Linked DNA regions of Mus musculus. Each later gene encodes a partner of the first gene's protein in a complex. Links are inferred from orthologs where the notes say so. Each region holds a gene or a part of one and is shown on either strand. Other genes may lie near its edges.

Region 1 (3,905 bases):
TTTATGCAGCGCTGGGAGAGCTGTGCACACTAGGGAACCAAGGGCTCTATCAACTCTTTTTAAACAGGGTCTCGCAGGTAGCCCAGGCTGGCCTCAAACTCATGGCAAGCCTCCTGCCTCAATCTCCCGAGGCTGGACACCATGTCAGACTTATAAGTAAAGTCATACACACTTGAGCGCCATGTCACTTTCCCGGCTACTCACTCCTTTGTTTGGGCTCTTATTTTTGTCTCTTCCTAGCATAAACCACAGGAGGGCAGAGGCACCCTCCTGACCACCTCAGCTTCTGTCCTTCCTCTCTACCTTGCAAGGTGGACACTGCCATTAGCTTACTTTCTAAGGACATGAAATGATTTCACCTACACCTGCCTGCCCAAGGTGTGAGGTTCTAGAAAGCACTGCCGGAGAGAGAAGGCTCAGCAGTTAGAAGCACTTACTGCTCTTTTAGAGACCTGGGTTTGGTTCCCTGCAGTCACCTGGTGGCTCACACCTCTAACTCCAGTCCCAGGGGACCCCCACACCCTATTCTGGTTTCCTTCCCGCATGTGGTGCACATACATGCGTGCAAACACTCATACACATACAACAAAAAGTAAATCTAAAAGTAAAAGCCCCCAGTTCCTCCAGCAGTATCCGCTTTTGCGCCTGTTCCCGCGTGCATCCCAAGTGGGGCGGTATGTCTCTGGGCCAGGTGGCTACAGTTGTGGTGAAAGAGCCCAAAGCTGGCTTCGGAGACCTTTGGCTTCCAGCCCTGAGGCCTCCTGACTGTGTGGGTCATGCTTCCACGTGCCTCAGTTTCCTCACCTGTCAGTACAGAGACTTGGCAGGTGACCCACCTGCTTGCCCGGCCTCTCCTGTCGCGGGCCCGGAGAGACCCGCCTGCCCGGCTCCCGGGCGCCCGCAGGAGGGCGCGGCTTGGCGGGGGGCGCGGGCGGCGCGGGGGGCGGAGACCGGCTCGGCTTCCGCTCCCTCCTCCCGCGTCGTCTTGGGCCGCGGCGCCCGAGGCGGGAGCAAGAGGCGCCGGGAGCCGCGAGGATCCACCGCCGCCGCGCGCGCCATGGAGCCCGAGTGAGCGCGCGGCGCTCCCGGCCGCCGGACGACATGGAAACGGCGCCGACCCGGGCCCCTCCGCCGCCGCCGCCGCCGCTGCTGCTGCTGGTGCTGTACTGCAGCTTGGTCCCCGCCGCGGGTAAGGTGGGCGCGGGGGACAATGGCCGGGGCCGCAAGCAGCCACTTTGCAAGTTGCGGACGAGTTGGAGCGCGCTCCGGGGGACCACGCGCCGGGGGACCTCGCGCGGGCCCTTTGTCTCTCCCGCCGGGGCCCCTCCCTGGGGACCGAGCCCGCCAGGTGCGGCGCGGGCGGGCCCTCACCTGCCCAAGGCTCGGGACGCCGGGCGCGCTCAGGAGTGCGCCCACGGGCATCGCGATGGCCCGGGACAGGCCTGGCCTATCGCGAACTACTGGGAAAACTTTTCGCGAGCCTGCTTGCGGCGGCCGGCCTACCGAGCCCTGGGAAGTGCCAGAAGTTGCTAGCTAGGAAGTTCGGAGAGCCCTGCGCGGGGCGGCCTGGCCCTGGGCTGCTGTCGCTTTGACCTGCGTGGGCTGTCAGCCTTCCAAACCGACTGACACCTGCCAGGTGTCCCCGTGACCCCAGTGACCCATCTGACCGCTCGGGCCCCCAAGCGGTGGCCAGGCACCCAGCCCCGCTGACCAGTGCCCAGCCCCGAGATCGGTTGCGTGGGTGCCTTGGTGTGGGGAGGTATGGTTCTGCCTCAGTTGGACCCACCTTTAGGGAAGTGGCCCGCTCGGGAACTTTCTAACTTTTTTTTGGTGTGTCCTGAGGGGTGGAGCTGAGGTCAGGAGGACTCTCGAGAAACGAAGCAGTTGGAAACGCTACACATGTTCTTTTAATTCGGAGATTGCCATGTGGTTTTTAAAGCAAGGCTCTTGCCACCTAAATCATTGTTTTCGGGTGTTTGTGTTTTGTTTTTCTGGAGTGTGGCTGTCCAAGGGTCCGGCAGATACTCTTGAACTCCCGGGTGGTGGTGATGGCAGTTTGGGGCGGGGTAGGGGACAACCTCAGGTCCCTTTGTCTGGGCCTTATTAAGGCGAACAGCTGTCCCCCTGTGTATTTCCAGGGTAGACACTTGAGGGAGGTGGCTGGGCCTGGCTCTGTGCTCAGATTCCCTGGGCTGCAGTCTCTTCCACCTATGTTTGGGGGGAGGGGTCGAGGGGAGCTGGCTTCATCCAGTCTTGGAGCTCTCAAGCTCAGCCAGAGGGCTCTTGGGGAGTCTCCCCCTAAATTTGTCTCCCTCGGGATCATGTTTACATTTTCAGGCCATCTCTGGTGTTAGCAAAACAAGGCGAAGACAAAACTGTGACAGGCTGTGGGAAGTCCAGGCCAGTTCTACTCTTCCCGGAAATGCCTGGGTCGTGACTGCAGAAGGGGTATGGGGCAGCTATTTGTTTTAAAGGTGGGGTTTGTAAGCCGACTTTCCTGTCCTAGGTAGGATTGACATTACTCTGGGATCCCCTAGCCTGTCATCTGGTATCCCAAATTGAACATCTTTATAGTTTGGTGGTGTGTGCGGCAAAAATAGAGTCGATTATTTTAACATTAGGAAGCCAGGCCCCAGGAGTACCAGCTGATGGGGTAGTCCAGGCCTAAAATGGAAGCAAAGAGAAGAATCTTCCTGAAGCTCTTATTTGAGTGTTTTTGGCTGTGCGACCCCCAAATGTCTGTCTGAGATTCTTGCTTTGGGAGTCTGGAGAGAAGGGAGTGAGTGGGCAGCTAATTATTTTTCCTGATTGCTTCCTGTTGCAAATTGAAGCTGTGAGCCCACAGAAAAGCCTTTGTTCTAGTGGTCCCTGAATTCCCCATTCTGGAAGCCCTAGGCTTTCCTTCTCACCGCCTAAAGCACTCACTTGTCCCTGGACCAGCCTAGCCTGTCTGGCCCCCTGGAGGAGGTTCCTGCAGTTGTGGGCTGTCTACCCCTGGGAGGGCCCAGCCAGCACATGTTGGGTTATATTGGGTTAAATGCTGAGCAGAGTCCCCTCTGTGCAAGAAATTACCCAGGCAACCTGTTTGTCCTAAGCTTCTCTGGGGAAAGCCACCTCCTGGCCCCAACATAGTTGGAACCCTTTTTATTTTGACTACACAGTGTCATTACTCAGGCATCTAGCAGAATTTGCACAGGGGTGTGGGGGTGGGGTACAGCCAGGTGAGGACTCTGTCACCTGCTTTGCAAGTGGGTGCCCCAGGGTTGGAGCAGGAGGTGATCATCTGACCAAGGTGTTTTGTTTTGTTTTTGAGGCATAGTTTCTCTGTGTAGCTCTAGTTGTCTTGGAACTCCCTTTGTAGACCAGGCTGGCCTCCAACACAAAGATCCACCTGCCTGTGCTTCCTGAGTGATGGATTAAAGGCATGGGCTACCACCACCCAGCTCTATAGGGTTTTCATGTCCAGTTGCTGTTTGTCTTTGGGAGGCTTACATAGCCTCTCTGTGCTGAGTCCTCTCTTCTCTTATATCGTTCGGTGGGAAGCATTTGGTACATGCAGCCCAGGTCTGGGGTAGTGGTGGCAGAGCTTTGAGGACAGTTGTGTGTCATGGCCTTTGATCTGGCCTGGGAATTCTGGAGCTGTTGTTACATGGTTTGGGTTTTTTTTTTTTCCTTTTTGTATGTTCATATGTGTGCATGCCTGTGCATGTAAAGGTCAGAGGTCAGCCTTCAGTGGTTTTCCTCAGGAGTCGTCATGTGCATATGGAAATTAAAGGTCAACCCGGGGAAGTGCTTCTCAAGAACCATCTACCTTGTTCTTTGAGACAAGGTCTCTCACTGGAACTTGGGTCTCACTGATTGATAAACCTCTGTGACTGGCTCTTTACCTGAGTACTGGGTGTGTG
Region 2 (3,880 bases), on another chromosome or scaffold:
CCTGTTGCGCAGGGATTGGTGAACCCAGAAGAGGGAGGAGACCAAGTGCAGGCTGTATAAATATTCATGAGCCGGCCGGGAGGCGCTAGCAGACTAAAGCCGGGAAGTTGGGCGAAGGGCGCAGCTCCTGCGGAGGAGGCGGAGGCTGGGACCAAGGTGCTCAGGTGTCCTCTCTGTCTTTTGCTCTGGATTTGTTTGTCGATCTAGCAAGAAAGCACGTCCTGCACCCCGCCCGACTGTGGCCAGAACGCGGCGTGGACTTTTGGTGGCGGCAGATACAAGAGGACCGACGCAGGAGTGAGAAGGCTGCGGCCTGACTAGAGGAGGGCCCGGAACTCTGGCAGTGGCGGCGCGGCCTGGAACGGACATGAACCCTCCGGGCCCGAAGAGGGGCCTCTAGGTCTGACCCGAGAGTCTAGAGGCCAGACACAGCCATCTTGACTGAGGCCAGAAAGGAAACTTGAGCCGCGTCGTCCTCCGAGTCTTCGCTGCTGGGAGCCACACGAAGTGTCTGAGCGTGCAGAAGGTCCTACACGAACTCGGGAGGATGAGCCCGGGGGCCACCACTCCGCTCCGGGAGGACTGAGTGCGACTCAGGGGGCGCGGGACAGACCCTGTGGAATTGTGGCGCGTTGGCGGTCACCCCAGGAGAGGCGTGGGGGAGGGCCGGACGACTCCAGCCTAGGTTTCCAACCCTGCTGCCTGAAAAGGAGATAGACTGTTGCTATTCTCCTCTGCAGAGAAAAGTGGGACACGACCCGCTCTCCCTTTTCTCAGATTCCTCACTGCAGAGCCCTCCTGCGCGCCGCCTAGAGAAGGAGGACTTGGGGTCCCAGCGCGCAGCATGGAGTGGGGTTACCTGTTGGAAGTGACCTCGCTCCTAGCCGCCTTGGCGGTGCTACAGCGCTCTAGCGGCGCTGCCGCGGCTTCGGCCAAGGAGCTGGCGTGCCAAGAGATCACGGTGCCGTTGTGCAAAGGCATCGGTTACAACTACACTTACATGCCCAACCAGTTCAACCACGACACGCAAGATGAGGCGGGCCTAGAGGTGCACCAGTTTTGGCCGCTGGTGGAGATACAGTGCTCCCCGGACCTCAAGTTCTTTCTGTGTAGCATGTACACGCCCATCTGCCTGGAGGACTACAAGAAGCCTCTGCCGCCTTGTCGCTCTGTGTGTGAACGCGCCAAGGCCGGCTGCGCGCCGCTCATGCGCCAGTACGGCTTTGCTTGGCCTGACCGCATGCGCTGCGATCGGTTGCCGGAGCAGGGCAACCCGGACACTCTGTGCATGGACTACAACCGCACCGACCTCACCACGGCCGCGCCCAGCCCACCGCGCCGCCTGCCTCCGCCGCCTCCTCCCGGCGAGCAGCCGCCCTCTGGCAGCGGCCACAGCCGCCCGCCAGGGGCCAGGCCCCCACATCGTGGCGGCAGCAGTAGGGGCAGCGGGGACGCGGCGGCTGCGCCCCCTTCGCGCGGCGGGAAGGCGAGGCCCCCTGGTGGCGGCGCTGCTCCCTGCGAGCCGGGGTGCCAGTGCCGCGCGCCCATGGTGAGCGTGTCCAGCGAACGCCACCCGCTCTACAACCGCGTCAAGACCGGCCAGATCGCCAACTGTGCGCTGCCCTGCCACAACCCCTTCTTTAGCCAGGATGAGCGCGCCTTCACCGTCTTCTGGATCGGCCTGTGGTCGGTGCTCTGCTTCGTCTCCACCTTCGCCACTGTCTCTACCTTCCTCATCGATATGGAGCGCTTTAAGTACCCGGAACGGCCCATCATATTCCTCTCCGCCTGTTACCTCTTCGTGTCTGTCGGGTACCTGGTGCGCCTGGTGGCAGGACATGAGAAAGTGGCCTGCAGCGGCGGCGCTCCGGGTGCTGGCGGAGCTGGGGGTGCGGGCGGCGCGGCGGCGGCTGGCGCAGGGGCAGCGGGAGCGGGGGCGAGCAGCCCGGGCGCGCGCGGCGAGTACGAGGAGCTGGGTGCAGTCGAGCAGCATGTTCGCTATGAAACCACTGGCCCCGCGCTGTGCACGGTGGTCTTTCTCCTTGTCTACTTTTTTGGCATGGCCAGCTCCATCTGGTGGGTAATCCTGTCGCTCACGTGGTTCTTGGCAGCTGGCATGAAGTGGGGTAATGAGGCCATAGCAGGCTACTCGCAGTACTTCCACCTGGCCGCGTGGCTTGTGCCCAGCGTCAAGTCCATCGCGGTGCTGGCGCTCAGCTCCGTAGACGGCGACCCGGTGGCGGGCATCTGCTACGTGGGCAACCAGAGCCTTGACAACCTACGCGGCTTTGTGCTGGCGCCACTGGTTATCTACCTCTTCATTGGGACTATGTTTCTGTTAGCTGGCTTCGTGTCGCTGTTCCGAATCCGTTCAGTCATCAAGCAGCAAGGAGGCCCAACTAAGACACACAAGCTAGAAAAACTCATGATCCGCTTGGGCCTCTTCACCGTGCTCTACACGGTGCCCGCTGCCGTCGTTGTCGCCTGCCTTTTCTATGAGCAGCACAACCGACCGCGCTGGGAGGCCACGCACAACTGCCCATGCCTTCGGGACCTGCAACCGGACCAGGCTCGCAGGCCCGATTACGCGGTCTTCATGCTCAAGTACTTCATGTGCCTAGTAGTGGGCATCACATCGGGCGTGTGGGTCTGGTCCGGCAAGACTCTGGAGTCCTGGCGCGCGTTGTGCACTAGGTGCTGCTGGGCCAGCAAGGGCGCTGCAGTAGGCGCGGGCGCTGGAGGCAGCGGCCCTGGGGGCAGTGGACCCGGGCCCGGCGGAGGTGGGGGACACGGCGGAGGCGGGGGATCCCTCTACAGCGACGTCAGTACCGGCCTGACGTGGCGGTCTGGCACGGCCAGCTCTGTATCTTACCCTAAGCAAATGCCATTGTCCCAGGTCTGAACCCTACGTGGATGCCCAGAAGGGGCGGAGAGGAGTGGGGGGATGGAGAACCCGTGGGCGGCGAAGGGACCCCAGACCGGCCAGGGTTCCCACCCCTTCCCAGTGTTGACTGCTATTAGCATGATAATGAACTCTTAATGGTATCCATTAGCAGCGGGGACTTAAATGACTCCCTTAGAACAAAGTACCTGGCATTGAAGCCTCCCAGACTTAGCCCCTCCTCTCTGATGCCCCAGCACTTACCCCAGACAATGGTTTCAGTGGGTTAGGATAGTTGGAACCCTCCTGGATACCCTGGATGAGTCTTGAGGGTACACTACACTACACCGCAGACTTCATCCAAGGTCCTGCTTCACCCTCGACTTCATCTGCATCAATTCATGCCCTCATACACCCTAGAGGAGGGACAACTGCTACCTTGTGGGACTGCACAGTTTGGGTATTCTTAATGACCAGGCAGATGCCTTAAATAAACAAGAAATGTCTTAATTATACACCCCAAGTAAATACGGGTTTCTTACATTAAAGGATGTATTTATATAATTATTTGTTAGGTTGTAAAAAAAAAGTGTAAAATATGTATATATCCAAAGATATACAATGTGTACATTACTTGTAAAAAGTTTAGAGGCTACCCTGTAAGAACAAATATAAGTATTCTATTTTGTCAATAAAAAGACTTTTGATAAATGATTTAAGTACCACCCTGTCCCCCACCTCTCCTGAACTGTTCCCCTTATGCTTGCTGAGGACATGTGAGGAAATGGAAATTTTCTGGCTTGCCATTTTGTACTGACAGTAGACCTGTTAACCTCTAATTCTTAAACTGTTAGCAAAGTAAATGTCATTGTTGAAATGAAATCAAAATCGCGTTTTTGCACTTTCCCCAAAAATGATGTTTTTCATGGTCTCTCCTTGCTGACCTATGGGTTACAGCTCTTCATGGTGTGTGTGGATGGACAGTTTGCTAAGGTGGCC

Evidence for each region.
Region 2: Lrp5 (region 1) and Fzd8 share a complex: the UniProt entries of both Homo sapiens proteins name them as parts of the wnt-signaling complex. The link is inferred for Mus musculus from reciprocal best matches to the Homo sapiens genes LRP5 and FZD8.

The regions. Positions count from the first base shown.
Region 1 is NC_000085.6:3,683,639-3,687,543, reverse strand, and holds the start of Lrp5 (low-density lipoprotein receptor-related protein 5 precursor), read left to right. Parts: upstream 1-979; 5' UTR 980-1,101; coding exon 1,102-1,189; intron 1,190-3,905. UniProt on the Homo sapiens protein: Acts as a coreceptor with members of the frizzled family of seven-transmembrane spanning receptors to transduce signal by Wnt proteins.
Region 2 is NC_000084.6:9,212,076-9,215,955, forward strand, and holds the start of Fzd8 (frizzled-8 precursor), read left to right. Parts: upstream 1-780; 5' UTR 781-844; coding exon 845-2,902; 3' UTR 2,903-3,880. UniProt on the Homo sapiens protein: Receptor for Wnt proteins. Component of the Wnt-Fzd-LRP5-LRP6 complex that triggers beta-catenin signaling through inducing aggregation of receptor-ligand complexes into ribosome-sized signalosomes.